Styela clava: one gene and its partners. The protein of the gene in region 4 interacts with the protein of the main gene of each other region in a biochemical or structural test. Links are inferred from orthologs where the notes say so. Each region holds a gene or a part of one and is shown on either strand. Other genes may lie near its edges. The genes, in order: cyclin-dependent kinase 1-like, E3 ubiquitin-protein ligase rfwd3.L-like, serine-protein kinase ATM-like and replication protein A 32 kDa subunit-A-like.

Region 1 (7,949 bases), on a different chromosome or scaffold from region 4:
GAAGTATGCGAACCAAGATGGCGGACATCGGAACGTAACATGGGTAACAGGTTAGGGTGAGGCGATAATTTTTTTTCCAATTTTCCTTATTTTAGTCCTATTATCAGGTCGAAGACTAGCCAAGAGCCTCCCGTAGCATTCATACCTAAAATTATGGCCTAACCCTAACCTAGTACACATGTTACATTCCGATGTCCGCCATCTTGGTTCGCATACTTCGGGAGCCCCCGTATTTCTTTGTTTAAACCAGAAAACAGATACGAACAGTATATTATTCCAGTAAGATATGAACTTGTTGCGACCCTGCATGTGGTCACGAGACGCACAAAAAAGCATGGGCCGCTGAGATCTTTTCCAGTACCTCAAGCAGCAGGCACAGTAGGATTGAAACTGGTGCCAAGTTACCGACGACTTTATCATTGTAATGTAATTCATTTCGTGAAAAAGAAAAAGCTTGATTAAAATTGTGATTCTACTTTACAGTCCAGATTTAAAAAAAACACTGTCACAATTTTTAATATCTCTTGATAACGAATATCCATCGCCCAGGTAATCGAGCAATCAAACTGTTGTCCCTATTTTCAACCAGTTACTTAGGCTTTACGCGAAAAGAAAACATTTTCATCACTAGCTTGAATTAAAACGAAGCAAGGAAGTCGACTGCACGCCGCTGCAGAGCTACGTATTGCAGAAATTTCTTTGCGGCCTCGTTTGCAATCCTATATTGGAAACGAAACAGCAGCAAAATTCTGACTAGAGGTAATTGTGTTTGTACATGTTTTTTAAATGAGTGTGTTATGTGTGCCTTTCTTAGGCATAATGGTTGCATAGCACCTCATTTCATTACGCAAATATATGATATTATTTTATGTTTCACCCATTTCAATTGTTGGCCGACACATTATTTGATATATACTTTTTCTTTGTGTGAAATGTTTTTAGGTGTGCCTTTTGTCTAGAAGCATATTGAGTGCCCGATATTACATTACTCGAATATATGATATTCTTTTCTGTTCCGCTCATTTCAATTTTTTGCCGGTACGCGAGTACATTTAATTTTACCGGTCCGCTAGGGTAGAAAGGTTGGGAACCACTGGTCTATGGGAGATACGCTTTTCAATACTTGTTCGAAGCTAATCTGCGATTTCCGAGACGCAGAATCCAACGAGTAGCAAAAATCTTTATGTGTGACATATCGCGAATAACTTACCTCATAATCATAACATTTCGGCGAAACTGAGATTCATAACATCGTAGGATTTTGTGTTTAAATGAAGCAATCAGTAATCAGTAGTTTATTTTTCACTATACCATCAAATAGGCACAAGCATACAAATTGCAATGAATTATAAATAGGTCACGTTTCAGGTTGAAGGCGGAAACCCAGTACTGGTTATCGAGCAGCGGCTGTATCAAAACATGGTCAAAATTGAGCCGTGATTAAGGAGACAAGGGCAGAATAGAACACGAGAAACGTATACAGCAGGTGCGTGCAACTGTTTTGCGCAATGGGCCACAAACTACAAGTATAGTGATACCGGGGGTCAGACCATCGAACAACTCATTAAACAATCCAAAACGATACTAAAATCTGAGCATTTGCTTATCCTGTCTTTTAGAGAAACTTCGATGTTTTCCGATAGATCGTCTATTCGTCGAGCCACTGTAAAACGAGGCAGACTTATTTGCTCCACTAAATTTTTCTTCTCCGTGGATACATTTTTGATGAATATCTTAAAACAATTCTTAATGAATTCACCATCGCTGTACGGCTTTCCTTTTTCCGCAATTGCTTCAGCTATCTTGAAGCTCAGTTTTGTAACTATCTCAGTGTCCTTGTAATCATGGAATACCTCTTGTTGTTTGCTCAAAGACTGTTTTAATTGCTGCATTTTGTCAACCCGTGATTGACCTACAATGCTATCGTAGCTAGCAGAGTTCGCTTTGCCAAATCAGGCAAACTAGATCTTGATTGTGTTGCACAATGAGGTATTTTACATAACACTCATTGTTGAATGTGCGCCTTTCATAACTTTCCCTTTCTTACTGGTGGACACTTGAACTTTGTTAGGCTTTTCGTATAATAACCTGCAATCATGAATTAAGATGCACATAAGCACATTATGCTGCAACAATGGGGGGTCGTCACAGTACTGTATAGTCTGAGTGTAGACGGAATTAAACTGTAGTGTGTTGTAGTCTTATACTGTAGTCAAAAATGCCAATAATGCCGTTGCAATTCAGAAAAAGTTTTTTAAATTAATAGTCTACGAAGTATGAAGTCGGTAGCGGTTATCTTGATTTTCCACCATTCATCCTGGTCCAGGATGCATTTACTAAATGGGTAAACAAATACTCAGAATAAATAGCGAAGTTGAAAACAAATAATTTATCTAAATACGAATATTCGGCGGTGTGATGCATATAAGCACTGGGAATGCGCTTGCCACAGGACCTCTGATTACCCTGATAGGGTTCTCAGGTTCAAATCGCGCCTTATCGCCTTCCCCTCCCCTAGATGAATAGAATCCTATCCTATTTTATCAAACCCTGGGGCGTCGCTAAATCCACACTGAGTAGTGTGCCAATAATATATGAACAAAATGCTTGATATAAATATTAAGACCATTTCACAGAATGTGAATGTGCGATTGCGGTTAATTTAAAGTTAAAAGAAAGCATAAACCTCGCATGGCTGCTTTGCGTACTCGAGCGTTTCAAACGAAACTTTTGATTTGACTTAAACAAGACGTCACTGGCTTGAGGCGTCCTGATTGGACGGAAGTCTCGATGCGCTATTTACGAATGTGCTGTACTAACTGCGGGTCTTAGGACTTTAAATTCAGAAATTGTTCTATTTTGCCTGTACTCCCGAGATTTATTCGTATTCGAAGTTAGTCTTGTATTAAGTTTAGGTGTGATGACCTTGTGGATCTGGAATCATGAACATATTTTATTAAACCTAGTAATTATGGGATGGTTACCGTATGTGCGAGAGGATTGCTGGACTCGTCGTCGTCGTTGGGTGGTCACGTAACCGCTGCCCGCTGGTCGGTTACGGCTTCCTCCACCACCAAGTCTATGCTTCCGAAAACAAACAATATAACTAATCCCATACCCGACTTGGAATGGTAACCAGACGAGAGGCTATGGTTCGCCATATGGATAAGCCGTCTTATCGGCTTTCCTTTCCCCGGGATAAATATGTAAATCCTATGTCTGTATGGGGTCTAGTATTAGTTACGGTATCAAGCAGTCAGGTGACGTCTAATTTCTGAATTTAAATGAAATATTGACTGGATTTCGGTGTTCCACTTTATTAGTGATTTTATAAAGGTAGACTATAGTGGCATAATATATATATAGGCTACCGGTACTACCAGTATTTAAAGAAATACAGAAATATGTTAAGAGCAAAGACAAAAATATTTCTCTTGTGTATCATGTCCGCATGTCAAAGGAAAGTATTGATGTGTTTTTCTTCCTGAAAATATGGTGATTACTCTTCTATGAACTGTATATGTGGCAATCAAAATGCCACTAAAGCAGATAACTCTTGTTATCTCTCGCAAGGTATATCCGCCTTCCATTCAGATTCAGTCATTACTGCATTATATCATCCGTTTATTTTTAGTGTTTGTGGAACCACGTCTCCCGGTCTCTGTTATATTATTTAAACTACATATCATATCAATATTTGCTATTAACAATAACAGTCGAAAAAAAATTCTAATTTGATTTTGCCAAGCGGTTAATATTTACAGTATTCATAACACAAAAAACCAAAAAGCAACAATTGAATGGTGCTTATTCAAAATACTGCACAGTCCTCCAATTCCAAGACTAGCCGCTATATTTAAAGACATCAATAATAACGTTGAATACAAACCCCTCCTATACGAGACATCCTGACAGCGTTGGCACTCCATACTGCCATACCGGTATCACCTCAAGATTAGCAAATCGATACTCTGTAATAAACTGAAAAAAAAAAATCTAAAAATGTCTTCTATCAGAGTCCTTTTTAAAAAATATTGGCTGAAAAAAATTTTATCATAGCAATGGCATCGCCCGAAATGACATCTGCGCCGTTCATAACGAACTTGCTACAGCCGGCGATCTCCAATCATGATCGTTGCGACGAGAAAGCTAGAGAAATAGCTTGCTCGATTCAGGTGATTGTTTGCGCGTTTTGGACGACCATTCGCATACTTCGGTGGGCCTTATTACGTCACTGTGACGTCGGAATGACTTAATTTTTCGGTGATGTAGTCAGGTCGGGGTTAGGATTGACATATGCAAAAATTATTGCATATGTCATACTATGCTAGGACAACTAGAAGTGCATGTGGTACTAAACTATATCAGACCCCTCGTTTCTGCGACAAATAAGTGTTTATCTAGCTATTGAGACATTCTTGGAATCTGATAACTGTGCCCTGATACCAAATTAGTAATTTTCTATTGAAGAGTTTTATAATCTTATATTTTACAACACAAATTATATAATCGCTCAAAATCATATTCTTCAATATAGTTTGTCGTTGTATTCATAGAGACCATAAACAGCATTGAAAAAAGTTAAATATATCTAAATAAATCCATACAAATACTCCTCAAAAACTGTCATATATTTGTGACCTTTGGTTAAGTTTGTATGGTTGTCAATATGAAGTAGTTGAACATCGCATAAAGCAAAGGCAATAAAATGACAAACGCCAAAATTAGTTTATGCTGGGATACTAATACAATTCTATTGCTATTTATGTAATTGTCCTTATATTAATATAGCATATAAGGTGGCTAACCAGTCTTTGAATGCAAATACTCTCTTTGTTTTAATTTCTGTATTTGTTACAAAATGTTTATGTAAAAATTACATTTTCATAACTAAGTAGCTAATGGAAAATCTTTTGATAAATTTTTATTTAATTTTATATTTTCAAGTGCTAATTTTGTTGCTGTGTGGATTAGCTTGGGGAAGCCTAGGCAGACACTGGGTGCGTACGGCAGTTCTTAATAATAATATATCTGCTAAATAAGCGAGTTACCATCAGATTCGTAACTAGTACTTTCAGAACTGCTTGCCGGATCCAACAAGATGGAAGATTATATCAAAATTGAGAAGATTGGTGAAGGTGGGACATATTTGTTTTCATTTAGGCTTCCAACATCTTCATAAACAAGCGCTTTACGAGCAATCACTAACACACTATGTTTCTAGACAGAATTTGAATATATTAATTTTATTACAGGTTACTCAGTCTTGTGCATAGAGTTTGAACCTTTAACCTTGGATCATATATACTTAACTTCAATTTAATATATCTATATTATTTATATTATCAGTGTATTAAGATTTGTTCATTTTGTTGTTTCTAGTTAAACAAATATACACTTTATTGCAGGCACCTATGGAGTGGTCTACAAAGGACGTAATAAGAAAACAAACCAGCATGTTGCACTGAAAAAGATTCGTCTTGAGAGTGAAGATGAGGGAGTGCCAAGTACCGCAATTCGAGAAATTTCCATTTTGAAAGAACTGGCTCATCCCAATATTGTTAGGTTTGTCTAACTTTTATTAAAACTTTATTTAAGTGTGCTGTTGAATTCTATCTTTCTGTCATATGGTCATCTTTTTCTTTCCATTAGATAATTCAGTTTTAGTTTTCTAATATTAATCTCAACTTCGAGTTATTGGAGTTGGATTGAAATTTCAATCCTTCGTCATTTCATGGTGATATTCAAAGTTCAAATTTTCTACAGTCCAATTATGTTGATAAATCATTGTTCTTATTAACGGTAAATTATTAAAGATGCATTGTATCTGCCAAAGTAGTTCGCAGCTTGAATCAAAAGTGACATTACCATCAACTTGTAATCAGAATTGTTTTCGGATATTGCTATTTTCATTTAATGCGTAATCTATCATTTTTAGTCTGCTTGACGTCCTCTTGCAAGAGTCCAAACTGTACTTGGTGTTCGAGTTTTTACAGATGGATTTGAAAAAGTACATGGATTCAATTCCATCTGGAAAATTTATGGACAAAGAGTTGGTAAAGGTAATCATCTATATTGCAGTACATCATAAAAAAAGAGGAGGGATATTTTAATTTTATAATGTGGGAAATGGGAGCTGACAAAAGCTGGCTATATAAATATTCAACTAGTTAATAGTTCCACTTATGCCTGTGTATCCATGTATGCTTTTAGGAGGAAATTCTTATATGAAGTATGACATTTTAGTATACTTTGTTTATCATATAACTATATTAATCCGTCGTGGGTTGCTTTGCTTTCATTGAATTTTATTGTTACATTTCTCGCCAACAGAGTTACACATACCAGATATTGCAAGGCATCACATTTTGTCACTCGCGTCGAGTGTTGCACAGAGATTTGAAGCCACAGAATCTATTGATTGACAAAAATGGCATCATCAAACTTGCAGATTTTGGTCTTGCTCGTGCCTTTGGGATCCCTGTCCGAATCTACACGCATGAGGTGTTCAATTTTGCTCTTATCATATCCCCCTTCATACTTGTTCTTATTCCGAAAAGTGTTTATTGATCAATGTTCCGTATATGACATAATGGTTACCAGCCAACATATTTAATTTAGGTTGGTACTTATGGTATAGGCTTTCCATAGATAGTATCACTGGACAGGTTTTGCAAGAATAGATCAAACATTAAGAACTAATCATTATCTTACATATGTGCGGATATTGCAATACTATGATATCATAGGAAAGAAAGTATCATATCTGATGGTAACTTATTAATATAACCAAATACTTCATGTTGATAACAGTCAAAGTTCTCCATATCCAGTTCATAAAATTCTTGCAAATAGCAGACTGTTCTAAGAATGGGATGCCAAGTTTCACATTCGAATTGTTATTTTTAGGTGATCACTCTCTGGTATCGAGCGCCAGAAATTTTGTTGGGATCCTCGAGATATTCTACTCCTGTTGATATTTGGAGTATTGGAACTATATTTGCTGAGATGGCAACAAAGAAACCTTTGTTTCATGGAGACTCAGAAATTGATCAATTGTTTCGAATATTCAGGTTCGAATTTCAGCTTTGTTATTTTATGGGTTTTCTGAGCATCTCCATTTTAAATATAGTTGAGTTGAGTTTATTTTTTCCACACGAGCACAAATTAAGAGAAAATGATAGTTTACACAGTTTTACTGTGGAAGGGAAGTCGCGGGGAACCAGAGCTGGTTATCGAGCAGCGATACCGGAAGTTCTATGCAAATTATTATCAGAAGTGGCATACGGAAAACTTCATTTTCATATCCCTTTGCTATTTCCATGAAAAAAAAATTCAGATTTCATGACATACTTTCAAAAACTCACTAAAACATGTAGAAACTGTCAAAAGCCATCAAGCTATTTCAATATCAATAATAGACCTTTTAGTTTTGGTCTGTGAGGATGAAGGCTCGACATCACTGCTCTGAATCCTAATTCTGCATAGTATTGAGAATATCATAACATGTCTTAATACTCTCAATATACACTTTCAAATCTTCTAGAGTGTTGGGAACTGCTACTGATGATGATTGGCCCGGAGTCACATCGCTGAAAGATTACAAACAAACATTCCCAAAATGGAAAAAAGGAAATATTGCGGATTCTGTTAAAAACCTCTCTGATGAAGGATTGGATTTGCTAATGGTATTCAGATGAGATATGTTTTACTTGTGTTTTTCGTGTACTTTCACATGCAGTACATGCAATTTGTATGGTTCATCATGAACACCTTATGGTGAATGGTGATGATGAAGTAGTTGGTCATTGAAATTAGGAATCTCATTCAATTATCTGGAAACTGGCTCTGTGAGATGTCCCAAGGTCATTATAGATGTCATTTAATAAATTTGTTGAATTTACCTGTAAAAAAAGTCTCTCAAGAAGTGGACTGAACTTCAAAGATTT
Region 2 (7,256 bases), on a different chromosome or scaffold from region 4:
GTTAAGTGTAAGGATCACGGTTTATAAGAAATAATTTTGTGGATGAACCAAACATACAGATGATTACCCCTGAAATAGGTATCAAAAATATGTATGAATAGGTAGGAAATTTTATGGTAATTCAACCAAGAATGGGTCACTGATGTTTTCATTATGGTGGGTCTTAATACTATGTAAATAACCTATGTACTTGAAACTTGAGTTGTTCTTGAGTACTTCGGTATTTAACCACAAAATAATCATTTTGATAAACTTCCTTTTTGTAACTAAAATGCTGATTTTCCACGGCTTCTCAGCCTCATATATTGAAAAAAAAGGAACATAGAGGCAGCTCTGCACAAAACTATCATTCTCTATGTCAAACAAATCATTACCCTTATGGATTAAACATTGATTGATTATCTGTGTACATCTTTCATGTTCTCTTCATTTCCTGTTGTAGAGTGTTAAGTTTGGAAGCATAACAGACATTCAGTGAAGTCCTGTTTGATAGGAAATATTTCAGTTCATAAAATCAAACTATTTGTATTCATAATATTTCATAGAATTTGTCTGCAATTGTCAAATTGTTTAATTTATGGTGTCTTCGTGTTCAGTAATTTGTTTCTGTGTCTGTACTCTGGAGTACATGCTCTATTGATTTTGGTGGTTAGGCTCGCCTTGCAAAATCAAAATCGCAGTGTGTAATTTATTGTGTGTACTTCAAAAAGTAATATCATTTTATCTTCATTAAGTAAAAACCAGAAAGTTGCTTTCATAATTCGCATTATTGTCTTAACACTTATAGATGAAGGGATTGCGTCTTACTGATAAATCGAGCAGTTGCTTTCGCAGATTCTGTTTCAGCTTGTTTTTTTTTGTTAGGAAGATATCCAGCGCTACTATTCGTTCTATTTTTGAAGACATGCTGGCCTCCCTTTTTTTGTTGTTGAATTTCAAAACACATCCCTATTTATAAGTGTCTGTTTGTCCAACTAATAGATTGTCTGGAGAAATGGTAAAAACACCTCACAAAGGAACTCATTCAACCTCTTTAGGATCAGAATTTTTGTTCATTCCCATTCTTATTTTCAGAATAATAGTAAAAAATTGAAGTAATAGTTTGAACATCCCTAATTACAATTTTGTGTCTGAGTGTCTGCTGCTTAAATTATTTTACGTAAAAATACATGCCTGGTTCTCTCGTACCTTTACCCATTGTACAAACTTTTGGCCAAATATGGTGTTTTTTTTCATATTCAGCGATTGTGTCAAAATAATTACTTCTACATGAATGTTGTTCCATTTATTTCAATCGATATTGAGTTCCTTTTGTGATTGTATTTTAATTATTTCATTTGGTAAAATGTGTCAGAATTTTTCATTCATATGTTATGCGTCTTTTTATAGCCAACGACTTCACTCTCATGGATAAAATTGGTAATCTGTATCGACGAAATTAATCCTAATTATTATACTGTCCCTCCAGCTTAATTTTTCAGTTCCTGAATTGAGAGAATTATAAATCATGTTATTTCAATTTGAAATATTTTCTGAATACAATTTATTTTAATAAGTGTGAACGAGGCTTTGGGCCTCATGGTCAATACGTATATATGACTTGCAATATATAGGGTGGTCTTTAAACTTCTTAAAATCGCGAAAGGAATTTATCGATACCATATATTATTTTGGCCCTCACAGATATATCAATTGAAGTAAAAATACTTATTTAATAATTACTGATTAAATAACAACAAACCTGATTAAGATATATTGAGAACTGACTTCATAACAAAATTGAAATTGTAAATAGACTTTATGGATACCCTGTATAATTAAGAAATCTTATCTTCCAATAATCTTGAGTTGTTTAACGGTGAAAAAAGATAAACTGATTTGAACTGCACTTTATTATGTCTGGATTTTCATTGGCAATAAGAATATCAGACTCATTTATGTGGGAGTTGTTTATTTAATCGTTGAAATTAGGAGATTTTTCAGAAACTGCCTTTGTTCGGACTTTATTTTAATTATCATGAATGTCTTGTTATTGTGTCATCGCTAATTTCCTGATATAATGTCCTTCATTTAGCGTGTCTTAGGCTAGAATAGTGGTTCCCAACCTGTTATGGCTCGTGGCTCCCTTTCGGAGGCTCTTAGCAATCATGACCCCTCTTCATCATTTCAGTGATATTTGTAGTGTTATTTTGATTGGTAGATTCTAAATCCGATCATGTTCAAACAATTTATGCGCAACAAAGTGAAAACACCCTGTGAAATTACCTTGTCATGCAATGAAACTGGGAAGAACGCAAGGGAAAGGTAAAATCAGTTTTGCACCTGGTTTTGTGGCCTTTTTTGTTTTGCTCTCCCTTGGAAAGCCTCCAATTGGGAACTGCTAGGCTAGAATAAGTTGGGCCAATGCCTCATCTTTTTAACCTAATCCTTGATGAACAGAATTAAGATAACAGATTGGAATATTAGTTATAGAACAATAACAGGACCCGATATTTATTTGTCTTTCTATTTTGTGTGTCTTATTATTTCACTGCTTTTATTTCAAACTGCAACATTTTTTCGTTGTCAAATATTGAGTGTGTTTTAGGACGCATAGGAATTTTTTTCAGTCATGACAATGTAGTAACTGAACCAATAAATATTGCAGATTGATTTGATTATTAGAAATCAAGGTGCCACTTTGGTATGCGATCTTAACAGGTGTGAAGTCTCATTAATTTTAGTATTAAATTGATTTTAACACTGACATATGCAAAAAAATCCGGTTCATTGAGTAATTCAAACTGGCCCGCCCGATGCTGCCACAACCAAAGTAAAACCAAATTTTGATGTTTCAAGCTAAAAAATAGCTCAAGGAATTCGGCAATTAAAATTAGTTTAAGCACGAGGCTTTTTTTCTTTTGTAATACTGTAAATATAGTTTTACGTCACACTTACATGGCCCTCCAGTCTAGCTGGGCAAAACTTTTGGCCCGTTGTTCAAAAACCTTGGCCACCCCCTGTTCTAACCCAACGATGATAGAAACTCGATTCTATGAGGTCTTTATGTGATTTAGATCATGTTTAGCAATTGAGATCACGAATTAAGTAGTTTTATGACACTTAGATCGCATACCAAGGTGCCATCGAATTGCAAATGATTTGAATTAAATGTTGTGGGATTCTGAATCAGTGTATTTGGTCTATCTTGTACATTGGTATGTTTTCCTGATTACATTCTCATTACTTGTAGATCTAGCATGAAATATCTTGAAAATACAAGATTCTTTTAATTCAAAAATCAATTCATTTCATTCTAAAAGTGTAATATATTTAATTTGGCCATTTATTTATTATGGATTGATTGTTTCGTATTTATTCTTGAATGATTTAACTTTGCTTACCTGGTTATTTAATGGGCGTTGAGTAATTTGTTATTCTGATATCTATGTTGGATATTAGAAATTGAAATCGTCTCATGTTTCGTTGCAAATTTTTGATTCAACTATAATGTAGTAGCCCTATTCTATTAGTAATGAGTATTTTAGTCATAAAACTGGCTTTAATAATTTTTTTTCATCTAAATTCTAATATTGTTCAAATTATAACTTCCTTCTACACTGGGAGGATTCTTAATTCATGACGAGAGACATTTTCTGGGTAAAAAGTGACAGATTGATTTAAGAAGCTGACACTCTCAATGATAGAAGTCCGAAAAGACTTTCCATTAATTCCAACCTTAAAAATTCACTCAATCTCAATGTTTTAATCTTCTCAATTGAACAAATTTGGTTGGCGGAAATCAGTATGTCCTCACATAGAAGCTGACCCCCTAAAAATGGCCCCAAAACAGTGAATTTATATAAATTCTCATATAGACTGACCCTACAAATCGCAACACGCCGTACACACCTATCGCAGCAAATGGTTGCATGAGAGAATTGATGAAAAACATAATGCTCCCATAAGCAGAATTTTTAGTGCCCATATAATTTGGCCCCTTAGTTTGGCACTTTTTTCTTATAGTTTTAAATTCAACTTATATATGAAGATATATGGTATGTTGAATTAGTTCTTGAATCTCAGCCGCCTTTTTTCCCAGTCTCTTTCAGTGCGTGATAAAGCCTGTCTTTCATTCATCCATGTTCGTTGCATACATATCTATGAGAAAGGATTATCATGTTTTGTGTTTTCTTTTCTTGTGTATAAATAGTTTTTCTTCTAGTGCCAATGGTAACCACTCTGCTTTTTTTTTGTCAAGGCAGTAAAAATGAAAATAATATAGTTTCAAAAAACGATAAATATTTTGAAGTATGTCAGACTATGATACTTCTGATGATTGGATAGACTGGAATCCCAATGGAATTCCATCGACCGATGATGAAACAGATAATGAAGATATTCAATCAGGTGAATATTTTTGATCAGGGTTTTTCAAACCGGGCCCTTTCGGGGGCTACGTAGCGTTTCTTGGTATGAAAAAGTGTGTAGTAACCAACGAAATTTGGAAGTTTTGAATGTTTTCGATTGTGATTTTTTTTTTCAAACTGGGCCTTTGAGGGCAGGGTTTATCATCATATTGGTAAAAGCTGAAAATGCTGACTCGCATATGTGTGTCGTTGTAGAAGCTATTAAAATTTTAATTCCCTTTTTTGTTAGCAATGGCTATTCGTCCTCAATGATTAACCAATATGATGCAATGGCTTTTTGATTGAAATCAATCATTGATCAGACTCTTTTCATATCGTTGCGGACCCTTGTGCTGTCATCACCTACCCCCAGAGGTCCGCGGACCCAAGTTTGGGGAACCCTGCTCTAGGGGGCTACGTAGCAGTTCTTGGTGTGAAAATTGTATAGTTACCAACAATATTTAAAAGTTTTGAACCATTGCTGACTGTTGAAAATAAAGTCTGATATTTTAATCAGTTTTGAGAATTATTTTTTTTTTCTATACTCAGAGGAGTTTTTTGCCGAAATTCATGATATGAGCTATAATAACATATTAACATAAGGCATGGTTTATTGTTTTATCCAGATTTGTCTCATGTAATTTTTTCGTTTTGGTTTCATTATTTAAAAATTCTTATTTCAACTATTTTTTTTATTTTCACTTCCAGAAACCAGTGACACAGATTCTAATGTAATGTTGCTAAACCACGAAAGGCACTTACAACGCAGAAATGCCCTCCCAAATATTCAAGACTCAAGTGAGATTGATACTTTGGATCAAAATGAAGAAAATGTCATTTCATCAGGTAGTTGAATTGTCCGAATTTTATGTGTATTAGAATTTTCCAATAATTTATATATATTGTTAGTTGGGTTGCGCGAGACTAACTTCCTATCCTTCCTCTGTGCCTTTATGGTAGTGGATCATATGCGATAATGCAATGATGCTGTAGCAGGAATAAATAGGAGTATACAATGCAATTCAAAAGTCCTGCTGCACACTAACACAAATATAATTCTGTAACGTTTCTTCTGACCAAAACCATGTTAGTGTGCAGCAGGAATTTTGAATTGCATGCAATTATACAATATAGTCGGGCTGAAATGAAAATTTCATCAAATGAGGGGCCTAGCAGATGTTTCATTATACTATTATACTAAGTCCTAGAAAAACTGTCACTTTATTAAATCATCCGTCATGAGTTCACAAGTTTGAGCCTCACACGGATGATTTTTACTAATGGATTGCTGGAATTCTTACTTTCCAGTGATTTCCAAATGACGGCCCATTGCGGCTTGCGCGACGATTCAATATGACCTGCCGAACGTAGGTCAATTAGTTTACCAATTTATATATTTTTTTTTTTGCGTTCTAGATACCGCCATTCGTTATGTCATTATCATAGTTTAAAAATTTGTATATTTGTCACAATTCAATTATACCAGTATCTTGATTATACATACCGTATCGGCCCCTTGCAGGGGATCCACATTCCTGGCCCGTGAATATCCTTCAGATGCTAATTTTGGCCCCCGGATAATCAACTTTGGGAAAAAATGTATTAAAACATCTCTGTATTACTTTGACGAATAAATATAAAAATTTGAGACAGTTACAGATGGGAAACCTTACCCGATTATCATAAAACCCACTTTCAGTAAACTCACGCATTTCCGCTTGCTTATAGGTGAAGAAACTGATCACGAAGAAGAAGAAGAAAATAATGGTGAAGAAGATTTATTATCAATTGCAAGTAATGGGTATAGATCAGCAGACAGTCAGCTAATTGGACAGACAGGTATTCTTCAAGTTACAATAGCTGGAGTGTGTTCTCCGAGTTTAGAATACCAGTGTACTAATTGCAACACAAAAAATTCATTTTTTTACTGCTAGGGGGGTAGTATTGTTGTTGTCAGATGTCAGATGAAAATGCGCTCACATAGGCAAAAATCCATATTTTTTTTTGCGTTTGTCGCTGCGGTAAATCTTTCACCGTTTTTATTACTGTAAGGCTATCTAGGCAAAAGCCGTATTCTCTACTCTTGCTGACTGATGTACGGTACATTTGAACGGTCAGTTTGGCTGATGCTAAAAACCTATGCAAGAACTCGTGTTATGCAATTCAATGTGTAGATGGAAAAACTACTGTAATTTCTTTGTGGGGCCCAGCTAAATGTCTGAAGTTGATTAAATGGCCCACCGAGCTAAAAAATATGCTCGAGGAATTTGTTGAGATTGCGATTAAATTTAGTTTTGAGACGAAATTTTGTTTTCTACTTTTGCTTTTATAACACTGCAAATATTATTCATAAAATGTAAATTTTTACGGCCACACTTACATGGCCCGCCAGTCTTTTGGTCTCTGGTCCAAACACCTTGCCCAATCCTGATCTAGCTGAAACTTTACCAAAGCATTTTGATCATTTCAGCCCTACCAGAAACAACAACAACCTCAAGACCTCTGACCCCCGTGCCATCCACATCAACAAAACGTAAGCAATCATCACCTCGACCTAATCCGAGCCCAAAGAAAACGAAAGAATCGTCGTTATCTCAAGAAGAAGACGGAGATTGTTGTCCAATTTGTTTCGAACATTGGTCAAACAGTGGAAAACACAGACTGTCATCACTGAAGTAAGTGACATTTTTATTTATAAAAGAAATGAACCATATTTTTACTATCAACGAGTTATGCATTACACAATACTATAACGCCATTGGGAATTCGACTGATTAAGAACCTGGAAGGTTATCCAGCCTTGTCCTATGGCTACGAGTGAAAGTGCTGATCCCACCAGTATCTCAGGCATAGGGTTGGAAGCACACT
Region 3 (6,845 bases), on a different chromosome or scaffold from region 4:
TCGACCTCCTAACGGAATTCGAAAGATTCAATGACGTCATAGTGACGTCACATATACTCCCGTCCCAGGAAAATGTTACGCGAGTCAGGCACGAGTCAATGTGTCTAATTATATCTACGCACACACTATCTACACACCTACTTTCGCTCGATAAACACTACTCCGTCGGTACCCTCGTTCTGCGATATTGCTACTTGCGAGCGTCTCATTAAATACTAATCAAGATAGCTGCGTGCTCTGCGACGCCGTTTTCCCCGCACGACGTAAATGACCTAATTATATATCGGGGTAATCAACCATGTGAATAACTCTCAACAAGTTACCCTACAAAGAAAATAATAACTCAAGTTTTGCAAAATAAAGGGAGGAACTTTAATAAACGGCAGTCGCCGTTGCCATCGCCTGTTTTTTTTTTTTTAATAAACAAAACCATTCGTGCAGTCTGACATTTGCCGTACAAACTGAAATCTATAAAATAAGTTCGCATGTAGCAGATGAGTTCATGCAAAATAAACATCGCACAGAAAGAACGAAATTGAATATTAAACGCTAATCGCCGCCCGTCGACTTCGCATCATTTAAAATGTATAAAAAGAAAGGTTAGAAATTGTGTCGACGAACAAAGAAATGCGTGTGACGCTTTCAGGTTCACATATCACAGTTTTAGTCTTCTTCCGACGAGCTATCGTCGATGTTTATTAGTTGAGGCTGTACCAAGCTGGGCTTTGCCGTTTCCAACCCCCCTAAAATTGAATTTATACGTCGTTTCACGAGACCTCGTTCAGACGTCCCATCGCTTCCCATAAATCGGGCGGAAGCCTTGTTGACCAGATTTTCTCGAATGGCCCCGTCTTCGAACTGTTCTTTTCGCGTGGCAATTAATAGAAGATCTTTTATCATATTGTGTCCGAGATGTGATCGCCAATCAGTGAGAATTCGCCGTAAACAACTGAACCCTCTTTCGACAACAGCATTTGAGAATGGTAAGCAAAGCACTAACTCGACAACGATCAACAAATTTTTATACGCCTCCTTCTTTCGCTGGTGCAACTTGTGCCAAAAGTCGGTAGTGCTCAAATCTTTGTAAACCTCATTTCCCTGGACGTCATACTTCAAATCATCCCATTCTTTCAAGCATGCACCCTTCTCGCACCCAGCTGCGTGTAGAGGTACTTTGAAGTACTCAAAGACTTGTGAAAGATCTTGATTGCCATATTCAGGGACGGACGCATTAATCCCGCCATCCGACATCAAGATTTCAGGGTTCAGCCATGATAACTTACTCAAAATGTTTTCTTGTTCTTCTATTTCTGTAAATCGCTCGTCCAGGCAATCACGCAGATTTCTTATGCATTGCGATCTTGTTGTTTGGGATCTCTGGATGATGGTTTCCTCTGCAGAATGAAAAACCACGCTTTCCTCGTGTTCCAGGAGTCTGGCGGTCGGTGTTTCACGCCTTTTACAAGTAATGCGTATTGCCTTCGTTTGTCCACCATCTTCGTGTCTGGTAAAACGGAACGGAAGCGGAGTGCAATTTAGGTCGCCCCTGTCATAAGCATCGAGCGCTTCTCGCTCTGCAGGACCGCCGCGAAGTTCCATAGAAGTTAATTTCATTTTCAACCGTTTTATCTGCTTGATAGCGTCAATAATGGATGACCCGTCATGATCTGATTGTATTGCGATTGACGTGGCAGATACCCAATTTACGATATCCTCGTATTGGCGACATAGGATATAGAACTTGAAGCTGTGAAGATTAACAAGAAATTTCTCAGCCTTCATATCTGACTCAGCCTCCCTCTGGTTAGTGAAATGATGTATGTAAACAATCCAATTTGTTTTTAGCGCATGGAGTGCGTTGAGTGTGTGTGCCACAAATCTTGTGCCTTGCGACTTTGGTACACTAACAACCGCGGTCTGCAACTTTTCTGCCGCATTACATACGGCGGCCCATTCTTTAGGGCTATTCCGAAAATGATAATATATGTCAATAAGGAAGTCAATAACTTGTTTGAAATGGGGGGTCAATGCGTCTTTCGATGCTAGTTCAATTCGATGTGAATAGCAATGTACTTTGATTAGCCGACCAGGGCACACGTCCTCCCATTTTTTAAGTAAACCCGTTTTACGCCCAAAGTTAACAGCAGCGCCATCGGCGCCGGCCCCGATAATTTTTGAAGAAAAAGGCTTAATAAGTTCCACAAGATTTTCAATGGGTGTCTCACAATTTGTTGTTATATCGGGAATCAGGAAACTCAACAGAGAGCGCAATGTAGCGTGGTACAAATTGTTAGCGTCCACTCGAACATATTCCTTCATTGAAATCAAGTCAATTTCGTGTACAGCTGGTTTGCATTCGTGCGCTATTCTTATGTAAATTAGTTCCGACTCGTACGATAACTTGCGCTTGACGACTGTTGACCCATCCACCATCCAGCTAAAAAAATTTACTTTTTTGTGCACTTCATTTCTTATTGAGGACAATATCTCCTCCGCGAGAATATGTATAAAGGCTTTACAACCTTCTCTGTTACCATATGACGTGGTTATTTTGCCGCCATTGTCTGCGCACAGTTGTAATAAGTCCGCAAACGCATTGAAAGGCAGTTCCTTTCTAGAGACATACAGTGCAGTACGAACAAGAGGTTTTATGGCGTTCTCCGCCCTCTGTTTTTGGCAGCCCCATAAGCGAGCGATACTTGTTTGCGTCGGGAGCTTCCCATTCTCAATTTCGACACACTTTAAGTGGCCCTCGGAATTGAGGTGTCGTTCTAAATTATATCTTAAAATCCATATGGTGCCATTCTCCCCGTAAGTCGTCACATCATTAACAACTTTGCCTCCATAGCCGCGCTGTATTCTGTCACAATGTTTTTTGCATACAATGCATGCTGCATGTACGACTTTGGTATTATCTTCGTTGAAACCGAACGTAAAACTGTCCTTTAATCTGTTTGGCCAAAACTTCCAGGCCGCTACAGAGACGGACCTTGATTTTTCCTCCATTTACTCTAATCATACAATTTATAATATCTCCTGTGGTATTTTTAAACAAACAAAAAACGGTGTTACGCAAAAATACCCTTTTACCGGTAATTTACAACAAAACAGCCGTTAATATAACTAATTAATTACACTAGCCCTAGTCTCACCGACATCTCATCTTTGTTAGTCTGCAACACTTCTATTAAATTCATAATACGCATTCGCAGTCTGCCTTATTACAAGGGAACATTCTGCATTCGCCAACGCCAAGTCGTCTGGAGGCATGCCCGTGCTTGATTCCTCGCTTTTCGCTGTAATGTACTATTGTGACATCATAAACCATCGCCCGCAAACGATTTTACGTCACTAAAGAATAAAGAGAGAGAGGCGGCGGAAAAAATCGCCTCGGACTCTCGTGTACTGCTGGACGCGAGTAATGACGTTTTTTACGGGAGTAATAGCTAGACTCGGGTAGGGCAAAATACGCGAGTCTAGACTAGAGTATGACTCGCGTACTCGCGTAGATTTGCAAGCCTGCAGGTTGTGCGCCATCTTGGTGCACATACTTCTGGAGGTTCCTTTTTATCTAACCCTAACCCCAAAGCCAACCATATCCATATGGAAAATGTTCTAAATTATGGTACCCAAAATGTGTCACCAGCAGGGGCTGCTTTGTGTTTTCAATTTGCTGCCGTGGTACTCCAACTCAAAACAAGGTGCCCCGAACTCATTGCAAAATTTTTTTCTGCTTCACACTGTTTCCCTCTGTCTTGCGCTGTTTCCCTCTGTTTTCCGCTGTTTCGCGCTGTTTTGCGCTCTTTGCAATGTTTCGCGCTGTATTCAGTAAGTAGTAAGACCGCTCAACCCATGCTCCTGATTACATTGCACTAGTGTGTGTAGAATAGAACTCTACCCATATTTGCTTGTTCAAAATCACACTTGATATGTTTAACTTAAATTCATTCAATAAAACAAGTTACCCAAATAAGGGGTAGCTTGTCTGACCTGCTTTCCCACTTCTTTTTCGTTTCGATCATTTTATATTTTGCAATATAATTTCAATTTGTGCAAAATCCCATTATTTAAAAGAATGCTTCCATAATTGAAAATAGTAAATTCATGTAAATATTGTACATAGTATAAATCGTGAGAGACATTGATATATTGACACGAACCTGTTATTTTTATGCTTATTTAATATAATTGGGTGGCAACTGACCCTGATGACCCCCAAAGGTTGTATCGTTGCCCCCAGTCATATATCGAAAACTATTTTTTTGATATTTGTTCATGTGTGCATAAATTGTTTTCTCGGTTTGACAAAATGAAATAAACTCTCTCTCAAATGAACTTATTCAATACTGTACCGGTGATACGAGTAAAGTTACATAGTCGGGTGACTCGGATATTCCACAAACCCAGTACCGTGAGCTCAGTTTTTAAATTTTGATATGTCTGTATGTAGCGTCGATTATTGCAATATTCTTCAGTACCGATGACAGGATGAGTTATTTTGAGTAAACTCTGAGACCTGTAAGAAATTAATATTACAAAGGGAATTTTAATACTAGGGAGTTCAGACATTCAACGTATCGCTTCACAGTTAATCTTACATACTTGTGTACTTACAGTATTATGAATATTTAAATGTTGCATTTTTCATTGTTTCACATTCACTCATTTAAGTTGTTTTATTGTTTTTTAAATTGTGAATTTGCAGTTATTTACATACAGACATATGTATCAGTATCATGTGAAAATACAAAAATATGAGTGGAAAGTTGACTGAACTCTTCAATAATTGCTCTTTACTGGATTCATCAAAAATAACTGATCAAAACAAAGGTTTGAATGGGATTAAACTTTTTATTGAAGATTCAGAACTTGTGAGCAGATTGAATGAATCAACAGATTTCAAAAAAGGATGGAAATGGAATCAAGTATTCAAAACTGTTTATAATTATTTGGAAAAAGAATCTGGGACATTGTCCAAACAATATGAATCTTGGGCTCTTTCGACAAGAAACAATAAAATTAAAAAAGTGCAAGATGTACTTATCTTAACAAAAAGAATTCTACAAATTGCAAATGTTGACTTGGTTCGAATTAAAGTAACAGGTTTTTTAAATTTTCTTATCAATTGTTTACATTCAAATTTGTTTCGATTAAATTACGGTGTGATGATATTATCTTTAATAGATAAAGAAATTCTGGCTGAAAAAAAATACATCTGTGATTTAACGAAAGAAGTTTATGACAATCTTTTTAAGATTTGCATGCTCGAGTTGACGCAAGAAGGAAATGAAACGAAGTTTGCGTCATCTGTTTTGTTACGATCTTTAACACATGCTTTAGTTCTTCAATCAGTCCCTAGTAGTTATCACAATCTACATTCAATTTTTGTTAATGTGATAAAAGGTTTAACTAATGTAAAGACACCTACAATATGGGAGAATGTCCTTACAGCTGTGAATTTATATATAAAATGGTATGCAGTTTCTTACCGAATATCGTGTTGCCAACTTGGTGAAGATTGCATCGATACTATTATATGTATATGGATCGGAAATCTTTTACCAGAGTCCACATTAGGTCAAGTGATTGAATTTTGTTCTCGACAGATTACGTTGCATCATCCTAGGGGAAGCATAGACCCTTCTTCTTGTGCATACGCGAAAGATTATGCGACATGGCACACACAGCTGTTTTCTATTTTATTAGGAACAGAAATGCAGCTTTCAAAACAATCATGTTCTCTTTCATATAGATTGAAAACAGATAGAACTGTGGTATTTAACAAGGGATGTATTCAACTTGCTGCATCAGCATGTTCTGTCCTGTTTGACCTTCATTTGAATCAGAAATTCAAAGGTCAAAAATCAACACCCAATCAAGTTGGTGACCTTCTGTTGAACAAGATTAATTTTGATGATAAAAGTTCATTTTCAATAATATTTTCGTTTGACAAAGACAAAAAGGTAACAAATGCTGAACAGTATTGGATGGAAATTCTTTCCTGTCTACTGCAAGGAAATGAGGAGTTCTTGAATGTCACTGTTGCTTTAAAAATTGCTGCTCAATTCCAGCATCTCATTACAAAAGTAAATCTCAACATTATTGGAATTTATTGTTTAAAGTGTTTGAGTATTGTATTCAAGACTGTATCATGTCACATTCCAAAGGTCTTAAAATCCTTTGATTCTGAGTTAGCCATTATATGGAAAGATTGTTGGAATGTCGCCACCACCTTTTTATCACAAGCAACAAAATCAGTAATCAATAACACTGTTCTAGATCTTCTCACAACTCTTGTACGATTAGATGGAAAATGTAAAGCAAATTTTTTTATTGCAACAAGATGTGTAAAGAACACACAAAGCCTTTGGTCTTCTATATACTTACACATTGAACCAAATGATCATAGTTTGAAATTTGTCAAAGCTTTTATTGATACCTATGGTCTTAATTCTACCCAGGATGATAATAATTTCTTCTGCACACTCTTGCAAATGTTGACTGTCAATCCCACTTTTATGAACTGTGAACCTTACCGTGTGATGTCACAATGCGACCCACTTTGCGTATTATTATTACTTTGGATTTTGGGATATAAAGAAGAAGATTCTGACAGTTCTTCTCGTCAACAAAGTTTTACAAAATCTGAAAATTACAGTCAGACGCCTCTTCAAGATTCTCCGAAATTAATGCCCACTTTAAACATAGTTACATGCAAATCGGAAACAGATAAAATTGACACCGCTGAAATAGCCCAACTATTATTGGGCCTTTGTCAAAAAAGTATAATCTGTAATGGATGTCATGTAATCAAGTATGTGGATTCAATCTCCTCTGATACAGTC
Region 4 (7,181 bases):
TTTCAGAAATAAACATTTTTAACGTTTTTATTGTACAACTGTTTTAGATACACTCATCGTTGTTTATGGTCTGAAGTCTTTAATTTAACATAACACTAATGAAAGGCCAGGCAACCCCCCCAAAAAGGACAATTTCGTTCAGCATTGTTTTTGCCGTCGCTCCGACTATCGTTTACCCGAATAACCGGACAATTTAGAGTGTTAACGAAAGTTCTTTCACTGGTAATACCATCCCTAATACCTCACTATTTTCTTTCGGTAGGACTGTCCTTTTTTGGCCATTCGCCTGAGCACAAAAGTTCTGGATTTTCATTTCAATAGAGTTGAATTATGTAAGCCAGCCGATAATACGCTAATAAACAGTTTAGCATTTTATCAATCGGCTTTCATCTAATCGCACATTTGAGTCTAAAACTTATTCCTTACATCCTAGAAGGCTAACATACTCAATGGTATTTTTAAAACACATGATATGGATTTCAGAATATTTTAATATTGTTATTTGTTATTTATTTTAAACCGTCTATTGAAATTTATCTGAGATCAGAATCCAAAGACTTGGTCAAGAGCAAACATATATATATGCAAATTTGCGAACAGTTGCTAAAGTACAATTAAGTTATCAGACATTTCACACTTCAGACATAGAATGAACATATAATATCGTGTGGATTAAACTAAACAAAACTAAATGTGATGATATTGCAATCTTTCTTAAGACAAGATAATAAATAGAAAAGAAAAATCTTCTGATAAAATCATTTATATACAAATACACCTCGAAACTCTGACTTTGCGCGGTAGAAACAAGTAGTTACCAAATTTATTATGTGTACCACTACTGTTTTTATATAGATTCCAACGACTACCGAAAGAACGAAATGGCCTACTCCGTCATATAATGCTCCTGTTGAACTGTGTATAGTAAGAATAAAAACTATTCAAAAAATGTTATTTACGTTTCGAAACCCACCTCTGGAAATTGCGTAAAATATTGTATCCGTAACGCCTACGTTTTCGTCTTTCAAATGCGTCTGCTAGGATTCGGTCGGGGGAATTTCATTCTCTTCACAATGAACTGAAATATGAGGCATCATCAAAACAGTAAACAGCGTAATATTGCCGCAGCTTACTCATGTCCGGCCTTGACGATTCTCGGCTTACACAATCTGGTATATACAATAAACAAAAATCTGGCAATTCTGTCGTTTATGTGAAGCTGCTTGCTCAATTTAAAGTGAATTCGTTTGCCTAAGCCCTAATCAAATACATTCTATTTCACAATGCGCACCAATATTAAAAATACTCTGATGTTGTAAAGGTCCGAATGTGCATTGAAATATTTGAGATTCATTAATAAGAATTAATAGTTTAAATTAATTACTCATTTTATGCAACTAAAACCCCTATATTTCTTCATTTCTTTTCGCTATTTCGTTTCTTGGCCTGGGTCCCTCACCCAACGTTCCCAGGTGTTGGGGGCGATGGAAATAAAGTAGTGGGAATTTATATAGTGCCGCAAACTAAGGTACCTGTGACTACTAGAGGTATTTCTGTTTTGATATTCTCCTACTTGTATTTCAATGCGTTATTAAAAAATCAAATATATATATTGCAAATTTATTTTTGAATAAGTTCAACTCAGTCTTGTGAATACGGATAATAGCTTATATTGAAATTCATTGGGTTCAGTATTATTGTGATACTTTCATATTTTTTCTTTCACGAAAGTATAACAAAATAGCATAGACTGTCGTTCCCATGTAGGGCTTCTTTCGTTTGGATAGCTTTTTCAAACAATCCTGAAGTCTAGGTTCTATATTGAAAATCCGACGTTATCCTTGCTTTAAACTTCAATCTAGGATTATGAAATGTTCATAAAGTATATATAATAATAGAATATTCAATACTGTTGCTTCAAAACCTTCTGTATATATATATATTTCGTGAGTGCATGATTATATAATGCTAAAAATCTACAAGTTCAATCGTAAAAAGCCTGATTTCAACCACATGCTATATGTCTGTAATATTCAGTTTATGATGTGTGTTTGACATCTTATATATTTTTTTTTTTTTACAAAATTTCATTCATTCTCGTCGTATATTCATTCTCACATTTTACTGGGTAGGTTTAACAAGACGTTTGTTGTTTGATGACGTAGTGTGAAAAAAAAATTAAAACCAAGCATTCCCGTTAGTTGAAAATGGAAATAACCAGTGGTGGGATTCAGCCGGTTCGCACTCGTTCTATAGAACCGTCCCAACTGTATGAGATCAGCGAACCGGTCAGCATTACTGGCTACTGTCCATGACTTTTTGTAACAGAACCCGTTGAAAAATATGACTTTTGTGATGGAACCGCCTAACAAAAAAAATTGAATCCCACTACCGGAAATAACCTATATTTTGCTATAAACACGTACGTATCTGCTTATTTTAAAACCAAGTCCTAACTATTGCAGACAAATTTTCAATTTTGTTTTTAAACATATCATTGAAAGGGTTGTTGTACACTTTTCTGGAATTTTCTAACATTCATACTAGTGCGTCAATAGGCTTCTATGTACATGCAATAGAATAGCAAAATTTCGAATTTATTGTTTGTGTTTCTATGCAATTCATACTAAAAATGCACTCCCATACAAGTATTGGAATGACGTTAGACCAAGTGTTTTCCTTTTATTATTAGCTTAAGTTTTTGTTTCAATTTGAGTGAATAAAAATTTTACCTTCCATGGTAAATAAAGCATTGTGAGGCACATAGGCTATATGACACCAACGTCGTAGAGAATCTAGATGTTGTAATGGACCTTCCACGACCCTGTAAAATTTTTAAATAGCTTGGAATGAATACGAAATTGTAATTACACGCAAGATACGTACGCTAATCACCTAAGTAGATTGAATAGTAAATTTTTTCTCATTTTTATTTGAAATCTATTTTTTTAAAATAAACTGACCTACGATAAAAACAGCTCTGAAATAGTAAAAATATATTAATTATCAGATTGGCTGTTGCCTGGATAAATTAGTAGCCTATAGCTATATATCGATAGTTTATTACCATTTCACAAAATGAAGTTAAAGGGGTGGAATTTTTCAAATTAGGATAACTTCATGTATTCGGCCGTATTTAATTTTTTGAACGATATGTATTTTGGTCGAGAATTATGAACCTGAATGAAAAATTAAACAAAAACTGTAGTAGTTATTCAAGGGTGGGTAATTACTTTGCTGAGTGGGCCAGTTACAGATAATAGACTTGGCCGGAGGCTCGGAACTCAATATGAAAAACCATGATTAAAAAACTCTTTATTTACAACAGTTAATCCAACAGTCAGGCAAACATTTGCATAGTAATATAAAGCACAATGTAACAATCGGGGTCATTATGACGTTATTTCAACGGAAATTTATTTTCATAAAAATTATAGTCGTAATTTCAGCAGACACAAGTGGGCCGTAATTTACCCGTTTCTGACTGATATAAAATTTTAAATTGGTTATATTTTAGAACATGATCTTACAAGTTATAAACGAGACCTAGTGCGGAATCTACCAGTGAGCAGGGTACCCTGAGGTCTAAGAGCTCATGACCAGCATGTTTTTAACGCTTGACACAACGTTCGTGTTATTTAGAATAATTTAATGCCACATAAAAACTCCTGGAAATGATATTTAAAATGCCAAAAATGTTAGAACGTCCCCATAGTCGTCATTACCCTACGACCAGTGGTGAGATTCAAATTTTTTGTCAGCCGGTTTCTTCACAAAAGTCATATTTTTCAGCCGGTTCTGTTACAAACAGAACATTGACCAGAGTCATTGGCTCTGCATTGACAGTAACCAGTGTTGCTAACCGGTTCGCTGATCTCATAAAATTTCGTGAGACGGTTCAATAGAATCGGTGCGAACCGGCAGAATCCCACCACTGCCTACAACCGCAAACTATTCGTACCATTTTATCTACCGATAGAAAATACCGTACCCATCACTTTATTTAGCATTTGACGTTAACTTCATTGTCATATATTATGGAGTATATATACTATTAAGTCAATTCATCTTGGAAAGATATTTGTCCAACATGGGAAGTCCAACTATATTTCACACGGGAGGGAGCTAGAGTGCGAGCCCGCGAAAACCTGGAGGGAATATTAGAAAGAGAAGTGTTGGTCTGATGATTCACGAATTGGGGTAACGTACCGTAACGTTTCTGACCTTTAGGAGCAAACCGTTGGATAACCGGATTACCGTATATTGCTTGGTTCGTTCAGCTGTTCATGCTTGTTCGCTCAACCCGACAGTGAAGACCAAATAGAGAAATGTTTGGAGGGGGTGGTGGTAAGCATCCTCGTTTTGTTCTCTAATTTTCAGATTTTGGAGTTTTGACAAGAAAATTTGAAAACATACTGACATAGGCTAATATTTCTGAGCCTATATTTTTACTGGTAGTAGGGTGGTGTAGCCAGTCTGCGGACGATTTCATTCAAACCGCTACAAAACAAAAACCATTATTTCTAACCCCTTTAATTTGTTTCACCGTAGGTGCATTGGCATTTCCTCTACACGCTAAACTTTCTACGACCAGGGGTTAAAGCTATACAAACCACCAAAGTACAACACTCTGAAGACTTATTTGCGACCGAACGACCAGTGTGCGAACACGGATTTCAAGCCTTGAACATCGTTTCTGCTGCGCCGAGACTAGGGCATACGCAGCCATGCGTGAAAAAATGGGCTCCTAATTGCATTTCTGACCGTCATATATTTTAAGAACACGGTTATTTCGAACAAAACTCTTCAAATTATAAACAAAGCACCACATCACAGCAATCAAACAGACAAAAACACGGTGGTCGCAAATCGATCGACATTGGCTAGGATTATCGACGTATTGGAAATGCGCACCCCCTATTCCCCCTCCTTTAAATGTAGAAACGCTAAACTTTAAAGATGGTTGAAAGAAACACAACTCTACCTGCCAAGTTTCATCTTTTTATCTCTTATATTTGTATGAATTTTTAAGCTTTTTTAAAGGGACAATGGGTAGTTGGCGACATGGAAAAATGGTCCGTTTTTTTTTCCTCGGTTGTGTTTTCGGTCGAAACTTTTTTGTTTGTGGCTGCATTTTAGTGTAATTTCGCAGAGCTACGAAGAATAAGTGGACGATAACGCGTGAAAAATATCGTCGCGGTTTGTTAATTTTTTCGGCATTAATTTAATCGATGAAGTTGACGGTCGCAAATAGGTCGTGGCCGCAAAGTGGGTAAGCCACCCTAGACTACACAGTCAGGCAGTGGACTTGTTGGCCAATCCCAGACCAGCGGACTGGATTTCATGTCAGGTGCACGCCCGAGTACGCTAGTGCTTCGCAAAAATGCATGTAAGCAGACGAAATAACCGTTATTAAAATTTAAATGAGTGTTTAACCACCAAATTGCAAAAACATTCTCAAAATACATATTTGATACCGTAATGGTTAACTGTTTTGTGACTGATTCAACGTATTTTTAATCCAATAATTTTACACGAATTTTAAGAAGAGTATCTTAAGTAATAATCAGTTGCACGCGGGCTCAGTCGTTTTGCATGCAGCGATCTCTAACCGCACGCCAGGAAATCTGATTTGAGAATTTCTAATTGCATGCTCCATTTCTAGTGAAAAAAAATCTATGGAATACAGACTGGTGCACAGCTGCACAGAGAGATAATGCTGTAATTTACTTGTTCTTCAAACTGTCAAACAAGAAACCCATACAACTTAATATACATAGAATGAAAATTTAAATTTTTGATAAGTGATTGGGTGGTAATGATGTTGCCATTATTAATAAGGTTACCATCTAAAATTAGCAAAGCAGGATAAATATGTCATAATTTAATTTCCTCAAATTTTATGTTTTCAGGATTCGGCGGAGGTGGAGGGGGATACGGTGATGGAATGGGAGGAGGAGGATTTCAGCAAGGTGGATTCTCATCACCATCAGCTGGAGGAGATAAAACCAAGGTAAGAGCAATCATGACAAATGTTTTGATTTTGAAGTTGTGTTGTCAAGATTTGTTAATGATTTTCTTGCAAACGTGCTGAAATGGATGAACATTTTGTGATTGCGAATAAATTATTATTTAGAGTGCTGATTTTGTAAAATGTTTTGGAACCAATATTTATTCTAGATCATTTTAAAATATCCACATGATATTTTGATATTTTCAAGTAACTGTTGAGAATTAACAGAAGTTATTATTAATCTGAATCCTGGTTTTTAAACTGAAATTTTATTTTTCAACATTCATCTTTTTTCTCGAGAATCATTTTAAAAATTGACTGGATTTGATAAATTGATTTTTCTACATTCTGAAGAATTGCTAAAGATTGTTTGGCAAACAGATAATCATCCCTGGATTGCAAAGGATTTATTATTCTAGATTATGACTTTCTGAAATGATTTTTTTCTTCAATAGTTTATTCTCAAAGATCATTCCAAAAAATCAATTTAGTGTACCATCAAGAAACCTTTTTCTTATTGCCTTCGCTTCATATTATTATCAACTTTATTTCAGAAATTTCGTTCACAAAATATAGTTCCATTATCAACATCAGATATAGCTTCTCTCACACATGATGGGAACGGATTCTTCCTGGAAGATTTGGAAGTTGGCCAGGTATGTATTAGTGAACTTGAAAAACAAGAATAATATAGAGAAATCTGTACTCAAATACTAGTCTCCTAGAACAGTGTTTTGCAAACAGTGGGGCGCGCCCCACAAGGGCAGCATAGACAGTAAAAGTAATATGTATATGTAGTTTATTGTTAGCTATTTATTGTTGGTAGGGGGAGGGGGGGGGGGCGCAAGACTTGACAAATTTCAAAAAGGTGGCACGGTTTAAAAAGTTTGAGAGCCACTGCTCTAGAATAGAAATTACTTTCCGTGGACTTCCAGTTCCAAATATATTTTTGTAAACTTCTGACAAATTACATTACCTTAGGTTACATTACTGCTGACTTCGAAATACTTGATTAAAATTCATTCAAGATAGAAAATATTCAATTATGCCATTCCATCTTTTGCTGTAATGTTGTAATTTACTCCACATTTCTGAGTATAACTTGTCTTTTCAAGCATGCTTATGTTGTATTTGGTCTTGTAATATTTTTCGTTGTGCATTAATGAAT

Evidence for each region.
Region 1: of the proteins of replication protein A 32 kDa subunit-A-like (region 4) and cyclin-dependent kinase 1-like, one has a biochemical effect on the other in vitro, tested with the Homo sapiens proteins (2 studies listed by BioGRID). The link is inferred for Styela clava from reciprocal best matches to the Homo sapiens genes RPA2 and CDK1.
Region 2: the proteins of replication protein A 32 kDa subunit-A-like (region 4) and E3 ubiquitin-protein ligase rfwd3.L-like form a complex in vitro, tested with the Homo sapiens proteins (3 studies listed by BioGRID, with this or other methods). The link is inferred for Styela clava from reciprocal best matches to the Homo sapiens genes RPA2 and RFWD3.
Region 3: of the proteins of replication protein A 32 kDa subunit-A-like (region 4) and serine-protein kinase ATM-like, one has a biochemical effect on the other in vitro, tested with the Homo sapiens proteins (3 studies listed by BioGRID). The link is inferred for Styela clava from reciprocal best matches to the Homo sapiens genes RPA2 and ATM.

The regions. Positions count from the first base shown.
Region 1 is NC_135260.1:19,957,869-19,965,817, forward strand, and holds the start of cyclin-dependent kinase 1-like, read left to right. Parts: upstream 1-4,927; 5' UTR 4,928-5,101; coding exon 5,102-5,138; intron 5,139-5,408; coding exon 5,409-5,565; intron 5,566-5,938; coding exon 5,939-6,062; intron 6,063-6,333; coding exon 6,334-6,504; intron 6,505-6,909; coding exon 6,910-7,073; intron 7,074-7,546; coding exon 7,547-7,688; intron 7,689-7,949. UniProt on the Homo sapiens protein: Plays a key role in the control of the eukaryotic cell cycle by modulating the centrosome cycle as well as mitotic onset; promotes G2-M transition via association with multiple interphase cyclins.
Region 2 is NC_135262.1:4,158,992-4,166,247, reverse strand, and holds the start of E3 ubiquitin-protein ligase rfwd3.L-like, read left to right. Parts: upstream 1-4,250; 5' UTR 4,251-4,292; coding exon 4,293-4,389; intron 4,390-5,096; coding exon 5,097-5,234; intron 5,235-6,116; coding exon 6,117-6,227; intron 6,228-6,858; coding exon 6,859-7,063; intron 7,064-7,256. UniProt on the Homo sapiens protein: E3 ubiquitin-protein ligase required for the repair of DNA interstrand cross-links (ICL) in response to DNA damage. Plays a key role in RPA-mediated DNA damage signaling and repair.
Region 3 is NC_135262.1:13,263,096-13,269,940, reverse strand, and holds the start of serine-protein kinase ATM-like, read left to right. Parts: upstream 1-3,836; 5' UTR 3,837-4,754; coding exon 4,755-6,845. Other genes in the region: zinc finger protein 862-like, read right to left, coding at 664-3,006.
Region 4 is NC_135250.1:25,185,014-25,192,194, forward strand, and holds the start of replication protein A 32 kDa subunit-A-like, read left to right. Parts: upstream 1-4,158; 5' UTR 4,159-4,328; coding exon 4,329-4,347; intron 4,348-5,912; coding exon 5,913-6,013; intron 6,014-6,567; coding exon 6,568-6,669; intron 6,670-7,181. UniProt on the Homo sapiens protein: As part of the heterotrimeric replication protein A complex (RPA/RP-A), binds and stabilizes single-stranded DNA intermediates that form during DNA replication or upon DNA stress.